Linked DNA regions of Canis lupus familiaris. The protein of the gene in region 1 interacts with the protein of each later gene in a biochemical or structural test. Links are inferred from orthologs where the notes say so. Each region holds a gene or a part of one and is shown on either strand. Other genes may lie near its edges.

The links.
Region 2: of the proteins of DYRK1B (region 1) and HNF1A, one has a biochemical effect on the other in vitro, tested with the Homo sapiens proteins (2 studies listed by IntAct, with this or other methods). The link is inferred for Canis lupus familiaris from reciprocal best matches to the Homo sapiens genes DYRK1B and HNF1A.

What each region holds. Positions count from the first base shown.
Region 1 is NC_049222.1:114,431,979-114,438,910, reverse strand, and holds the end of DYRK1B (dual specificity tyrosine-phosphorylation-regulated kinase 1B), read right to left. Parts: intron 6,188-6,932; 5' UTR 6,087-6,187; coding exon 6,024-6,086; intron 4,989-6,023; coding exon 4,869-4,988; intron 4,781-4,868; coding exon 4,592-4,780; intron 4,444-4,591; coding exon 4,296-4,443; intron 3,430-4,295; coding exon 3,143-3,429; intron 2,434-3,142; coding exon 2,287-2,433; intron 2,206-2,286; coding exon 2,065-2,205; intron 1,773-2,064; coding exon 1,457-1,772; intron 1,062-1,456; coding exon 955-1,061; intron 861-954; coding exon 489-860; 3' UTR 124-488; downstream 1-123.
Region 2 is NC_049247.1:17,147,117-17,154,773, forward strand, and holds the start of HNF1A (hepatocyte nuclear factor 1-alpha), read left to right. Parts: upstream 1-3,114; coding exon 3,115-3,440; intron 3,441-3,971; exon of another isoform or gene 3,972-7,657. UniProt on the Homo sapiens protein: Transcriptional activator that regulates the tissue specific expression of multiple genes, especially in pancreatic islet cells and in liver. Binds to the inverted palindrome 5'-GTTAATNATTAAC-3'.

The DNA.
Region 1 (6,932 bases):
TCCCCAGGGACGCATCCCACGTGACAAAGCTCTTCTGATACCCCCTCCCCAAATACTGTTCCCCACCACGTCTCTGAGGGCCATGTGAGGGGAACCGAGGCCCTGCAAACGCTCAGGCAGGCATGTGAGAAAGCTCTTTACTGGGGGGTACAGCAAGGAGGAGCAAGGCCATCTCCCCCTACCTGCCCCCACCCCCTCCTAGGGCCCTAGGGTGAAGGGGGTCTCCCCCCAACACCGGACCACCACTGTCTTTGGTACAATAAATAGAAAACAAGGGGGGGAGAGGGGGCCAAGGGTCCAGTCCTTAATGGGGAGGGTGCGCCTAGACCCCTCTCCTTGACCCCCTGCCCCAGGCCCCAATCAGTGCAGGCCTCACCCACCCCAGCTGGGTAGCAGCAATTCCAGTCAAGGGGAGAGATGAGGATGGGAGCCCAGGGCCCCCAGATGGGGGGTATGGCTTCAGGAGGGGCCCCAGGGAGGGGGCTGGGTCATGAGCTGGCTGCCGTGCTCTGGGGTACACCACGGAGGCCCAAGCGAGGCCCCAGAGTGGCAGGGTTATCAGGGGGTGGGAGGGGTGGACGACCTCCTGTCATCCGAGTCCGGAGGGCTGAGGCAGCCGGGTGCTGGGGGGCAGGCGCTGGGTGAGGTGGGGAGCAGTCTGAAGGGCCGCCCACCAGGCTCACATCCATCAGCTCCGGGGGTGGTGGTGAGGTTGGTGATGGGGGACGACCAAGGCATCGGGGTTGGGGGGGTAACTGGGCCCCGGCCCCTGGCAGTGACGAGGCGGAAGCAGGGGCCTGATGTGTCTTGTGGGGCACATCACCCCCTGCCCAGGGGCGCAGCGGCTGGGAGGGTGGGACCTAAAGGAGCAAAGGAACAGTGGGTGATGGAGACCCAGGTCCTAAAGCCCCAGATACCTATTACCCACCTCCCAAGTCCCCCAGGCCCCAGTACCTGGGGGCTGTTCATCTCACAGTCAGTGATGGGGGGCCCAGGGCCCCCACAATATCGGTTGCTGTATCGGTAGGTCCGGTTGTCACTGGAGGAGCCACTGGAACCTCCTGGAAGTGCCAGGGGAGGAAATGAGGAGACGCCTTAGGTGAGGAGAGGTGGTGGTTGGATTTTTCAGTGTCTGAGTTTGGTTTGTGACCCAGGCCCAGGCCTGGGCTTTGGACAAGAGTCTATTTAGAGGATAGGGCCCAATTCTGAAATTATGGGTCAGAGCTCAGTTTTGGGTATCAGAGTGAAAAGCAGTTTTAGAGATGTGAGCCCAAGCTCAATCTCGGAGATCAGGTCAGGACCAGTCAGAACTCTGTTTGCCCCACTTGTTCTGGAGTTCAGGATCATGCAGTTTCAAAGCTCTAGGTGAAGGCCCAGTGTGGCCAGGTCCCCCAGGCCAGGCCAAACAAGAGCTGCCCACCCTCCTGTTCTACCCCACCTGGCACTGGGCACCCACCAGAGCTGGAGATGGAGCTGGCGGTGCTGGAGGAGGGACAGGTGTCAAGGGGTGCGGGCGAGGTGGAGGCACTGCTGCCTGCCGGGCCCGTGTTGGTGGCCTCATCAGCCGTGCGGCGGAAGAAGCCGTGCTGCAGAGCCCCCAGTGGGCTGATGCGGGCGGCGGGCTCATACTCCAGCATGCGCAGCACCAGGTCCTGGAAGCGGAGGTAGTCGGCGGGGCTGTGGCCCGGCTCCCCCGCCCGCCGGCCCCCGGGCCCGCCCGTCTGCACGCCCAGCACCTCCTGCAGCCGCCGTGTCCCGGGGCCCTGGTAATCCTGGCAGGGAGGGGGTGGGAGGGGGGGCAAGAGAGTGGCCGTCAGTGGGCAGGAGGGGCAGGGAGACACACACGGGGAAACAGAGGCACAAGAGAGAAAGTGGAAGGAGAGAAGCTAAGAAGAGTTGTGGGGTGGGTAGGAGAGATGGGGTGGGGCAGGACAAAGGACAGACAAGGGGAGAGGAAGGAAGGGAAAGACACAAGGGAGAGGAAGCAGGGAGAAAGGAAGCCCCAAGTGTGAGAGAGTAAAGGGCCACCAGGGTAGGAGGAGCGGCATGGGGCAGGGGCCGCACCTTCCTGAGTTCCTTTGTCCTTCGTAGGGTCCAGCCACCCCCAGGCAGCCGTTCAAAGTACTTGCGAGCCTTGGGTGCCTGGTCCAGCATGGGGGCTGGTGGGATGCCCAGCACCTCCACAATCCGGTTCATCTGGTCCACCTGTGAGCAGGTGGGCAGTCAGGGTCATCAGGCCAGCCAGGCCTCCGCCCCCTCCAGCACACCCCTTCCTCAGGAGCACACCTCATTAGAGCCACTGAAGAGGGGCTCTCCGGTGTGCATCTCCACCAGGATGCAGCCCAAGGACCACATGTCAATAGCCAGGTCGTAGGGTGTGCCCAGAAGCACCTCAGGCGACCGGTAGAAGCGGCTCTGGATGTACTGGTAGATCTGGGGAAGAAGCAGGGAACAGGGCAACAGTCAAGAGAGGTCCCAGCCTCCCCTAGTAGTGCCAATGACATACTCAAAGCTAAGACAAGCTTCCTTCCATGCAACTGGAGCATTAGGGTTACAAATCTTGAGGACATCACCCACTTTCCAGGAGGCACTACCATCACTTATTCATCAGCCTCAGAAGTCTCTGCTAGCCTAGTCTGACCCTGATCTTCATCCAAAGACTGACTTGACCCTCCTTGGTCATCAGAGGTTGGCAGTCTGCAAGACCAGGCCTTTCCCACCACCCCCCACTCAGACCCTTTCCAAGCCATCTCAAATGCCTGCTGACTCAAAGCTGCAAACTAAAGCACCCGTCCCCCACTTCCTCCCCAGCTTTCAGAGCACCGGGTAAACAAAACCTAGCCAAACGCCTCTCCAGGCTCAAAGCCAACCCCACTTCACCCTGCCCACTTTGAACGCCTCATAGCTGGCCTTGCCTCCTCAGGCTTCTCTTCCTTTCCTACTGGGTACTATACCCTGTGGCCCTCTCCTTTTAACCTCCGCACCAGCTGGCCTTACAACGCTAGGTCGCCAACACCCCATTCCAATACCACCCTCCAGGCCACCTCGGGCCGCACCCCCGCCCCACCCGCCACTAGTTGGCCCCGCCCCCGGGCCACACCCACGCCGCGAGCCCCGCCCCCGTCCCCGGGCCACGCCGCACCCGCTGGCCAAGCTGGCAGGAGCTGCCAAAATCCACGATCTTGATGGCGCTGCGCTTGGGGTTGCAGAGCAGGATGTTCTCGGGCTTGAGGTCGCAGTGAATGATGCTGAGCTCGGGCGTGGCCAGGAAGAGCAGCGCCGTGCAGAGCTGCTGCGCCAGCTTCCGCGTCAGGTTCAGGGAGACGCCGCGGAAGTGTGTGTTGCGCAGGAGGTCGTACAGGTTGTAGGAAAGCAGCTCGAACACCAGGCACAGGTGGTTCCGGAACATGAAGTGCCGCTTCAGGTGCACTGCGGGGAAGGGGATGGAAATGGGCCTGACGGGGAAGCTGAGGCTCAGAGAGGCCCGGTGGCGGCCGGGGATGCACAGTAGTAGGCAGAGGGGCTGGAAGCCGATCCGGGGCTCTGCCTCTTGAGCGCTGGCCAAATTGTGGTGTGCCCACGGGAAGCAGCTGCTCGTCAGGGTGTTTTTTATATGATCTGGAACTCGATTCACATCAAGAGAAAGAGTTCCTTGATTAAGAGAAGTTCATTCTTTCCAAGTCTCTGTCAAACTTTCTGATAAACCAGAGAACGTTTCCTTGTGGTGCTGATGGGTCTTTACTGCCCTTCTAGATTTTCTCACTTAATTTTGTAACATTGTTTTAGTCTCAGTTCTATTTATTTTTGTGGCAGGGGACACTAGTTTTCCATTTAGGGTAAGGATGTGTATTTAAAGAAACACACTTTTTCAATCCACTTGCCTTTTCTAAGAATCAGTATGGGAAAGAGGAAAAGACTGATGCAGATGTTATGACTATAGGCCTGGGAGCCCACTGCCTGGTGAAATTATAGCCCCTCTGAGTACAAATGCTGTGACTTTATGCAAGTGATAGCACATGAATGCCTCTGTCGTCGTCTCCAAGCTGTGGGCCAAGGTGCCCCTTCCCCCCAGAGCTGTGGTCAGACTGGAGCCAGTTAAATCAGGGAAAGTGCTTGCAACAGGGCCTGACCCTTAGCGAGCACCCAATACACTGTGACCAAAGCCATCATGGGAATAGGGAAACAATCACTAAGGCGGCAGGAGAATCGCTGATGTCAGGGGATTCCAGACCAGCCCCTGCCCTGAAGACACTGACCCAGTACTGTACTGGGTGTACTGCTGCCCCAGGCCTCACCTATATAGTACTTCATCTCTGTGTCATGCTGGTTCATCAGCTCCAGCAGCCGCAGCTCAATCTGGGCCTGGTTTAGGAAGGCCTTTTTGTTCTTGATGATCTTGATGGCCACCAGCTCCTGGGTCTGATGATCATAGGCTTTCACCACCTGCCGGGGCAGGGCATGTTACAAAGTGAGGAAATGCGGGGGAAGGGGACGGGGCACAGAACAGGGCACTACTCCTTTGTGGGTCAGTATCAGTGGATGCCCATGCCTCTCTATCCCTGGGTCAGGGTGGAAGGGGGGCACCCCGCACCTGGCCAAAGGAGCCTTTGCCGATGAGTGAGTCAATCTCATAGCGCTCCAGCCAGCGCTCGCCACTGCGCACAATGTAGTCATGGTTGTCATCGTCGTAACCATGGTTCAGGACCTTCTTCTCCTTCTTGGTGCTCGAGTCCTGAGGTGGCGCCTGCTGGGCCCGCCGCTTCTTCTTCGCATAGTATACCTGCCCAGCCAGCCAGAAGATAAGGATTGCTGAGTGCCCTGTGCCAGCTGCCAGGACCCCTCAGCACCTGGTTGGGTCCCCCGCCCACCTCATTGATGTGCTTGTAGGTCTTGATGAGGTCCACGGAGAGCTTGCGCAGCGGGGCTGAGGTCGCGTCCCGGAAGGCCAGGGGCAGCCTCCGTGGCAACAGCCGCACATCAGGCAATACCTGCGGGGTGAGGCAGGGCGGGGGGGGGGGGGGGGGTGCGGCATGGCACTGAGGATAGGCCTTTACCTCTAACAGACAACCTTAGGGAGAACTCTCTGGGTGGCCGGGTCATTGTCACCATATACACATTTTACTTGATCACTGTGTGACAACCCAACAGGAACAGAAATTCCCCAAGGGCAGAGACTGTCTTGTTCTTGCTGTATCTGCAGTGCCAAGTAGCGTTTGGCACATAGTGGGTGGTCATCAGAGATTTGCTGAGTGAATGAATGGTGAACTATTTTCTCCTGACCTTTCATCCTACACCTTTACTCCTTTCTGAACCTCCGTGGGAGAGATCAGATAGAAAACATAGGCTCTGCCCTTCCCAGTCCACCATCATTCTGGGTGTCCCATCTTGAGGGCTGCCATCTTGCTTTACCCTTATCCTGTGGTATCTTCCTATCCTTCACCCCCAACTCTGCACATTTTGCCCCAGTCTTTTGGGAGCCAGCACCTTGGCACCTCCTACTCCATCCTGCTTCAAGCTCTACATTTCAGAGCCCTGACAGTCTCCACCCCTGAATATCTTTACTCTGTAGTGTAAGATGCTGCTGGCTCCAGGATCCTTTGGACTCAGACTTCTCCCCCTTGCACCCCAACTGCCCATCTTTCACTCTGGACCTTTTTTCCTTAGTGAACATTTACTGGGTGTTTCCTAGGTGCCAGGCACTATTCTCAGCATTTTACATGCATTTCATTAACTTGCTTAACCTCACAACTATCCTGCGAGGTAGTTATCATTCTTGGCTTCATTTTAAGAGAAAGAAAACTGAAGCAGGTAGAACCTAAGTAATTTAACCCTGTGTCAGGATTTGAACCCAGGCTATCCAAACAGTCTCTGCCACCAACTTCTCTATTATCTTCCACTCCAGATGGGCTTTTCATGGCCCCAGGAGACTGCTCTGGGCAACCAAATAATCTTTTGGCCCCAAGACCCTTCTATCCCCAGCCTCCCCCTACCCCAGGCATGTGAGGAGCCAGCTGAACGCATACCTGCGTGTGCTCCTGGGGCCCCGGGAAGCCAGAGAAGGGACCATGGCCCGGTGGGACGGCCATGGTGGGCTCAGAGGGCCGCAGGGGAGCGAGGCCTGGAGCGGGAGCCCGGCCGGGGGGCGCCTTCTCGCATCCTGCACCTCGGCTGCCACCGCCGCTGAGACCTGAGAGCAGGCGGGAGGCAGGGGAACAACATGGAACAAGAAGATGTGTGGGACAGGGACAGGTGGGAAAGAGGTGGACACCAGAGAGAAGGTAGGGCATAGGGAGAGGAGAAAAAGGACAACAGGTGGCAATGAAGAAAGGGGACAGTGAAAAATGGTGGGGTGGGGGTGGGGGCACAGCAGAGTCCCTCAACAAATGATTACCAAATAAATGAAGTAGGTGGCACAAAGAGGGGAACATGTGAAAGGGAATGATTGGAAGCCAGGCAGGGATAAAGGCCATGACAAGAAAGGACAAAAAGACACCAATAATTGGGGTGAGAAAGAGAAGAAAGATAGAAACCACAGACAGTATAGGTTTGCTTCCCATTTCTATTTATGGCCCTCCCCAGGGCCCCCTCACACCAGATCCTGCCCTCCTGCAGTCTTCCCTGATTGTCAGGATCACCTCTTATCACAGCAAGGTCCTTTCACTTCAAGATCTACCCTTCCCAGTAGATCCTAGAGAAGTCTAGGATTCCCCTCCCCCCAAACCACAAGAGAACTCTGGGCCCCCTCCACACCCATAGCAGAGTCTTCTGCAGGCCCCTAAAACCACATCAGGGTCCTGGAGAGCATACCAAGGTTACCCTGTTATACAGAGTTGTCCCTATATAAAAAATTCCTACCCCTATGGCATTCTCATCCATCAGGGCACCCCCTTCCCAGGGGACCCTCCCCATATCATGCCAAGACCTTATCCTTA
Region 2 (7,657 bases), on another chromosome or scaffold:
TGGGGAAACTCGCTAAAGCTGGGTTAGGGGCGGTTCCGATTAAAAGCAAGTATCCTACAGAAATTACTGTGGCACAGAAAATGAGGGCGGAAATGCCCAACATAATTCCAAGGATCGAATTGCGCAGAGTCCAGCAAGTTCTCATTCCATTAGTATGTATTTAGGTTTATTCCAGAAGGAACTAAAATAATATTTTTTCTTTCAACTTATGTGTATTTTTCAAGTGGCCTCTAAGTTTTTGGGACATAAATATTTAAGAGTTGTTTTGACCCAAATACTTGCAAAACCAGTTAGGTTTTATTGGGGGGGGGGGTGTTTATTTGTTTAGCACACGAGTGGGAGTAGGAGGTGCCCTGAAATAATTTCGGAGACACTGAGGGTGCCTTGAATCAAGAAAGTTTGGGATCCCTGCATCATGCTCTTTACCAAACGTTGTCTTAGCAGCCCTAGGAGATATACCTCTGTTTTATACAGATGAGTCTAGAAAGGCTAACTCACGTGCCTGAGGCCCCCCGGGGGTGGGGCTGGAGGTCGAATGTGGGAACAGTGAACATTCAAACGAGGTCTTGTGTCCTCTAGGATGCAAACAGTTTCTCCATTTAGATTTGTCTGCGGATTGTGGGGAAGGGCACCCCTTTCTGTTTGGGGAGAAGCAGGGTCATGTTCCTGATGCGTCCCTTCTTGTTCATCCCAAAGGGCCCTCTCCCGGGGACCAGGACCGCAGCGTCGCGGCCGCTGGGGGCAGAAGCTCCGTGAGGCTCTGCACTTCCCCCTCCTCCCACCACCACCAAATCCATCAGGAGTCCCAGGCTCAGCCACCAGGCTGCGGGAGGACTCAGCAGCCAGCGCTCAGCGGCGCCGGCAAGGATCCAGGCACCGCCGGTGCCCTCCCTCCGGGTCCCTATTCTAGGTGAAAGTCACCAGGGGGCAGCGGGGGGCAGCAGCAGCCGCGTGGCCGCAGGGAGGAAAAGCACTGCGGGCAGGGGCGGTCCCACCTCCCCAAGGGGCCGCGGCCAGCGTCAGCGTCAGGCGCACAGGCAGGCTGTGGGCTCCGCGGGATGCTGAGCCAGTCATTTAATGCCTCTGAGCCTCTGTCCTCCCACCCGTCGCCCTGCGGAGGGGAATGCAGGGCCTACTAGGTGGACTTCTGAGAATTTAATCCGTTACTGAAGCCTATACTTAGTGGAGCGCGCCGCATACATGGTCCTCGTGCAGTGAAATTTAGCCGCCTGTGCATCTTCAACAAATAATTATTGAGCACCTCCTGTACCATCGAGGCAATGCTCTAAGCTCTGGGACTCTAGCAACGAGAAGACCGACGAAAAAGCCCTGGCTTCAGGGAGCTTGCACCGTAGCAGAGGGACACAGAGCATAAATAATACACGGAACACCCAAGGCAACGCCAGAGCAGCACTGTCCCGAGGAAAGAGAACACGAGCCCCATATGTAACTTACATTTTTCCAGTAATACTGTTACAAAAGTAAAAAGAAATGGGTGAACTTCATTTTTCTAATTTTTAATTTAGAAGATTTTATTTTTAAAAAATTAAAAAAAAAGATTTTATTTATTCATGAGAATACACAAGAGGAGAGAGAGAGAGAGAGAGGCAGAGACACAGGCAGAGGGAGAAGCAGGCTCCATGCAGGGAGCCCGACGTGGGACTCAATCCCAGGTCTCCAGGATCAGGCCCTGGGCCCAAGGCGGCACTAAACCACTCAGCCACCCGGGCTGCCCAATTTTAGAACATTTTCATCATCCTGCAAGAAATCCCTATACCCATTAAGCAGTCCCTCCCTCTTCCCCTCCCCTCAACACCCTACCCCACCCTCAACCACTAATCTACTTTCTGTCTGGTATGGATTTGCCTCTTCTGGATATTTCCTATAAATGGAATCACGTGTGGCCTTTGGTGACTGGCTTCTTTCACTTTACATAGTACTTTCAGGGGGTCACTCACGCTGTACCAAGTGTCTGCGTCTTGTTCCTTTTTATGGCCGAATAATACACAGTTGCATGGATACACCACATTTTACTTATCTGTCCATTGCTGGATATTTATGCTTCTCCCCCTTTTTGGTTATCATGAATGATGCTGCTGTGAACATTCACATGCAAGCTTTTGCAAGAACATGTTTTTAATTCTTTGGGGGTTGGCATTAATTTTGATTTTTAATATATTGTAGAAAAAGGTTTTCTCGATGACTGAGTTTTTGGATGCCCCTTAAACAATTTATACTTGAGGCAAGTGCCTGCCTGGCCTCCTCTGGTTCCCACCTTATAAGCCTTGTCCTTTGCTAGCAGTGTGGTTTTGGGCAAGCTGTTCAGCCTCTCAGAGTCTTGGTTTTCTGGTCTGTAAAACAGAGATGATCCCTATACCCACTCACAGCTATTAGGGGGCTACAATGAGGCAATGTCACATTTCCCAGACCAGCACACAGTCGACTTAAGTCAATGTGTCTTTCCTACAGAGAGGCCTGGTGTTGGGCCTGGAGAGGTGGGTCCCAACATGGCTGTGACCTAGCACTGACCTTGAAGAAAGCTGGCCCACCTGCCTCGAACCGCTTCTTGCTCCAGTTCCCAAGGGAAAGCTGCTCTTTTTTTTTTTTTTTTCCTTCCCTCTCCTGCCTCAGCCTGAGCCCCCCGTCAAAGTCCTCGGGGGCGGGACCCCAAGCTGTTACCAAAAGGCCTCCGTGGCCCCCCAACCCTTCCATCCCGGCTGCCCTGCACCCCCTCCCCCCTGCTCCCCCCCCACTCCCGTTGAAGGCCTCGGCTCCCCCATCCCTCTGCACTGCCATGAGGCCTGCACTTTGCAGGGCTGAAGTCCAAAGTTCAGTCCTTTTGCTAAGCACACGGATAAATATGAACCTTGGAGAATTTCCCCAGCTCCAATGTAAACAGAGCGGGCAGGGGCCCTGATTCACTGGCCGGCTGGGGCCAGGGTTGGGGGTTGGGGGTGCCCACGGGGCTTGGTTAGTGGGGTTTGGGGGGGCAGTAGGTGCAAGGAGCCTGGTTTGTGGCTGCCTGCCGGTCGGCCAGCAGGTCGACAGCCCGCTGGGTGGGGGAGGCGGCCGGTTTGGTGGCCCCGGGCCGCGTGGCCCAGTGGCGGCAGAGCCATGGTTTCTAAACTGAGCCAGCTGCAGACGGAGCTCCTGGCGGCCCTGCTCCACTCGGGCCTGAGCAAAGAGGCACTGATCCAGGCGTTGGGTGAGCCGGGGCCCTACCTGCTGGCTGGAGATGGCCCCCTGGACAAGGGGGAGTCCTGCGGCGGCGGTCGGGGGGAGCTGGCCGAGCTGCCCAACGGGCTGGGGGAGGCGAGGGGCTCCGAGGACGAGACGGACGACGATGGGGAAGACTTCACACCGCCCATCCTCAAGGAGCTGGAGAACCTCAGCCCCGAGGAGGCGGCCCACCAGAAAGCCGTGGTGGAGACCTTGCTGCAGTAAGGACCCCTTCCCCATCCCCGGCATCCAAGGAGCCTAGGGACCCCCCCCCCCCCAGCTCCTGACTGGACCTTCCTCCGAGTCCAGCTTTCCACGAGCTCTAGTTTTTAGCCTGGCTGCCGGGAAGGGCCACAGGGCCCGTCAGAGCTCCGGGCGTCCTTGCTCCCCGGTGGCGGTGGCGGGAGCCTACGAGCCCCTAACCAGGCCCTCTGCAAGGTCGGGAGTCCCCAGGAGCCAAGGCTTTCAGCCCAGAGCCAGGAAGCAAGCCCGTGGCCCGGGGGAGCTCTGAGATGGGGACAGAGCAGGCACGTCTGTAATTCATGTGCCTGGAGAACCGGAGGGTGGTGGCAATGGTCAGTCACCATGGCCCTTTCTACTCCCCCAACCCTCCCCTCCCTGCTAGGCATTCCAGTTGCAGGCTCTGGGGCCCGGAAGCACTGTTAGTGAGAGGGGGGCCGAGGCTGGGGTTTTAGGGGCTCCCTCGGCCACCTAGGGACTCAAGCATTAAGCTAGGAAAGCCCAGGTCTTACCTGAGGGAGATGGAGCCTAGGGGCAGGACCTGCTCCCCTTTCCTGCACAGCTTCAGCCCCTCCGCCTCACCGGCAGGCACCCTGAGAGGTCTCCCTGTTGTGCACCCCCATCCGCTGGCTGGTTCCCCAAGTCCCAGAGAACTGGGTGGGTCTGAGCCCGATGCCTCCCCTCTCCTCAGCAGAGCTGACCTGGTTACTAATTACCCATGAGCTTTATTATTTCTCTTTTGTTTTATAAATTTATAAACGGTAAAAGGCTCTGATAAGGCCTGTGATCATTAACTTGTAAAGATGGTGGCCTGGGGAGGCCTGGGCCAACCAACCCTCCTACCCAAAGGGGCGGGGGGAAAGGGGTCTAGGGGCTGTGGGGACTGCCCTCCCCAAGGCTCCTAAGCTCCAATCCTAACAGCCAGGCCCCAAGCTGAGGTTTCAGGTGCATATGGTCGGATAATGTTGGGATGAACGGCGGCTGACTAGTTAGCTAGGGATAACTGCTTCACAGCTGGGGAAACTGAGGCCCAGCGAGGGGAAGTAGCTCGACTAAGGCCACCCACTGGCGCTCCACAGCCGCTCTGCTTGGTGCTCTCAATTGCGGCGGCTGGGCAGTGGGAGAAAGAGTCCCAAACAGACTCTCTACGGGACCTTTTCTGTCCAAGGTCCTGATCCCAGCTTGGGGTGGGGGGAGCCCTCAGGGTCTGCCGGGCCTTGTGAGGGCCTGGGCAGGGGGCAAGGGAGCAGCCAGGGCCCCCTGACTTGGCAGGAAGAAGAGGGCAAAGGGCCCTGCTGCGCTGCAGGGGAGGGGCAAAGAGTCAGGCATTGCCAGACCCAGGGCGAGGGCGACAGGGGACAGGGTGGGGCCGGGCCAGACCTGCTCCGGGGCCCAGATAGCACTGGGGGCTTTCGGGTGGGAGTGGGGGCAGGGGGTGCCAAGGGCCTTTCTTACCTGGCTGGGTGGGGCCTCTTGATCAGCAGCCCCTTTGGTGGCATGGTGAGTAGGGGGGAGGCTTCATCCATAGCACCCGAGGGGGGAGCAGGGGTCAAAGTGCTCCCTGGGAGCCAGCAGAGACCTGGAAGCTGAGGGAGATCGGGGAGCTGTGGAGGAAGAGGGAGGGCGTGGGGTTGGGGGGGAGATGGAGAGGCCTGGAGAAGGAGAGGAGAGCAGAAGAGCCGGGAGGGCCGAGGGGCTCCCACCCAGCTGGGAGAAGGGGCTGGGGAGAGAGTGAGACACCCCAAGCTGCAGAGAAGGCTGGAGTGCTTCCCGCCTGACCCGATTGGGTTTTCTTTAATGCTAACAGCATGCTATTTACTTTCCATTTAAATTTGAGATGTTGCTATAAATTATCAACCAGCTCCTTGTTCCTGCGGAGTTTATAACTAACTACCTGGGTTACTTATTGTTCAGGTAACAAAAGGGATCTGAAAACGCCCCGAGGGAAAAAAGTGGGGCCTCTACCCTCAGGACCCAGGAGGGAGTGGGGTGGGCACCCCTGATGAAAGCCTGGACAGCAGGGCTGGAGGAGCTTAAGGCTGGAAAGGATGGTGCAGAGGCAGGGTTGCCAGTGGACGCCATTTCTCTGGAGAGGACGGTGTGTGGGAAGGGGCAGGGTGGGTCCTGCCCCCCGCCCCGGGTACCTCGTGCCTGAGGCCACAGCAGGAGCCTGAGCTCTTCTCAGACCCCCACCCCCCTTAGTTCACTGTGTGACCTTGGGCAAGTATCATCTCCTGCCTCATTTTCCCTAATTGGCCAGTGAATAAAATTCAAATTCCCTGTCCTGGTTCCCTGACCTCTTCTCAAGGGACCTCTGTGCCTCCCTCACATCCCTCCCAGGACCCCCAGGAGGGTCGACTGACTTTGCTGATTCCCACCTCAGGGTCTTTGCATGTGCTGCTCCTTCTGCCTGGACACTTCTTTCTAGATCTTCCCATGACCAATGCCCTCTCCTCCTTTTGCTCAAGGGTCATCTCCTCAGGGAGGCCCTCCCTCACTGCCCCCATCTAAAAGCAGGTCCCACCAGAGTCACTCTCTCTTTCACTACCTTCTGTTACTTTCTCTTGTCCCTTAACTTTACGTACGATTGTTTTTGTCTGGTTTCTAACTCCTGCCATGAAAATAGAAGCTGTTCAAAGACAAGATCTGTGGGGTCTTGTTCACCACTCGTACCCCCGATATGCAGCCCAGTGGCTAAAATACAGCATGAATGAATGAATGAGTGGCGAGGATTCCCTGAAGCCCTGGGGACATCTGCTGTTATGGCCAAGGGAGGAACCTGTACCCAGGGCTCCTTCCTGGGTGTCCTCTTGGCTCCTCCCTGTCCCTGAGCCGCCTGAACTTCAACCTGAGGGATGATGTCCTGGGTCCCCTCCATCAGGCAGCACCAGGTCTTTGAGACCCAGGAAGACAGTGGCCACGGTGGGACAATCTGATATCCCTGACTGAGGCCGACCTGCCCGGGTTCAAATCCCAACTCAGCCCGACCCTGACTTGGGCAGGTGATTTCACGTCCCTGAGCCCTGTGCCCTCTGCAAGGCATGGATGACGATAGCACTTACCCACAGGGTCAAGCAGCATGCAGGCGCAGTGAACGGTTGCTAGGAGTAATAGTCCCATTTTACAGATAAGCAAACTAAGCCTCAGAGAGGCAGTGACATGCCCAAGATAATTTATGAAGCAGTAAGGCCAGGACTTGGACCCAGGCCGCCCTAATCCCACGCTCTGCACAGCATCCTTGAGGTTGCATGCTGACCGCGCTGTCCTTATAGGTCTATTTCTCTTTTTATCCTCTCGTCATTCTGCTGTTAACCTCACATCCACTCACTTCCACGTGGTGCTCGAGAGCTCCCGACCACTTACAAATGCGTTAAACTTGTTTTCTCCTCCTGGCAACTTATGAAATTCTTTTGGCCGTGTATCACGGTTGGGGAAACTGAGGCACACAGAGGTTGAGCAGTTTCCCAAGGCCACCTGGATAGTGCGTGGCAGAGCTGGGATTTGACCCGAGCTGGGAAGCTTCTCTGAGCTCCCCCAACCTCCATGCACTGAGAACTCCACTCCCCCTCCAGACTCGTGGCCCTTCCCACTGGTTTCTGAGCTCCATAGCCCTTGGACCCTCTGAAGTCCCAGGGGCCAGCGAGCCAAAGGCCCAAAGTCTTGAACTTCTGATTGATCCCTCCCAGAACCCATAAGAGGTGGGAGGAGGAGATGTGGGCAGATCTTCACGTCTCCTGGGTCCGCTTCCCTCTGCATCAGGGCTGGGAGGCCCATGACCACATCATCCCTGATGACGACGATGTTGATGGTGACAAATTGTTGTACTTACTGAGCACTTACCATGTATCAAGCCTCGCTCCTCCCAGGGGCACTGTGAGGCAGGCGTGGGCTTATGGCACCATCCTGAGGAGGCATGCGGCATACACGCGGGAGGTGCTAGGGCACCACGGTGGGAGGTGAACCCAGGTTGGCTTGACCCTTAAACCCACTGGAGAGAAAGCAGGAGATACCTGGAGACATGGTGCATTAGTTCTGGGTTGGGGAAACTGTCCTGGGAAGAGTCAGGTCCCTGGAGACTGGGGGTGAGTGAATGTGTGTGGTGGGGGAAAGAGACAGAACGAACAACAGAGACACATGCAGAGACAGACAGAGAGAGAGAGAAGAGAGGCAGGTAGAGAGAAACTAAGAGATAGGGACA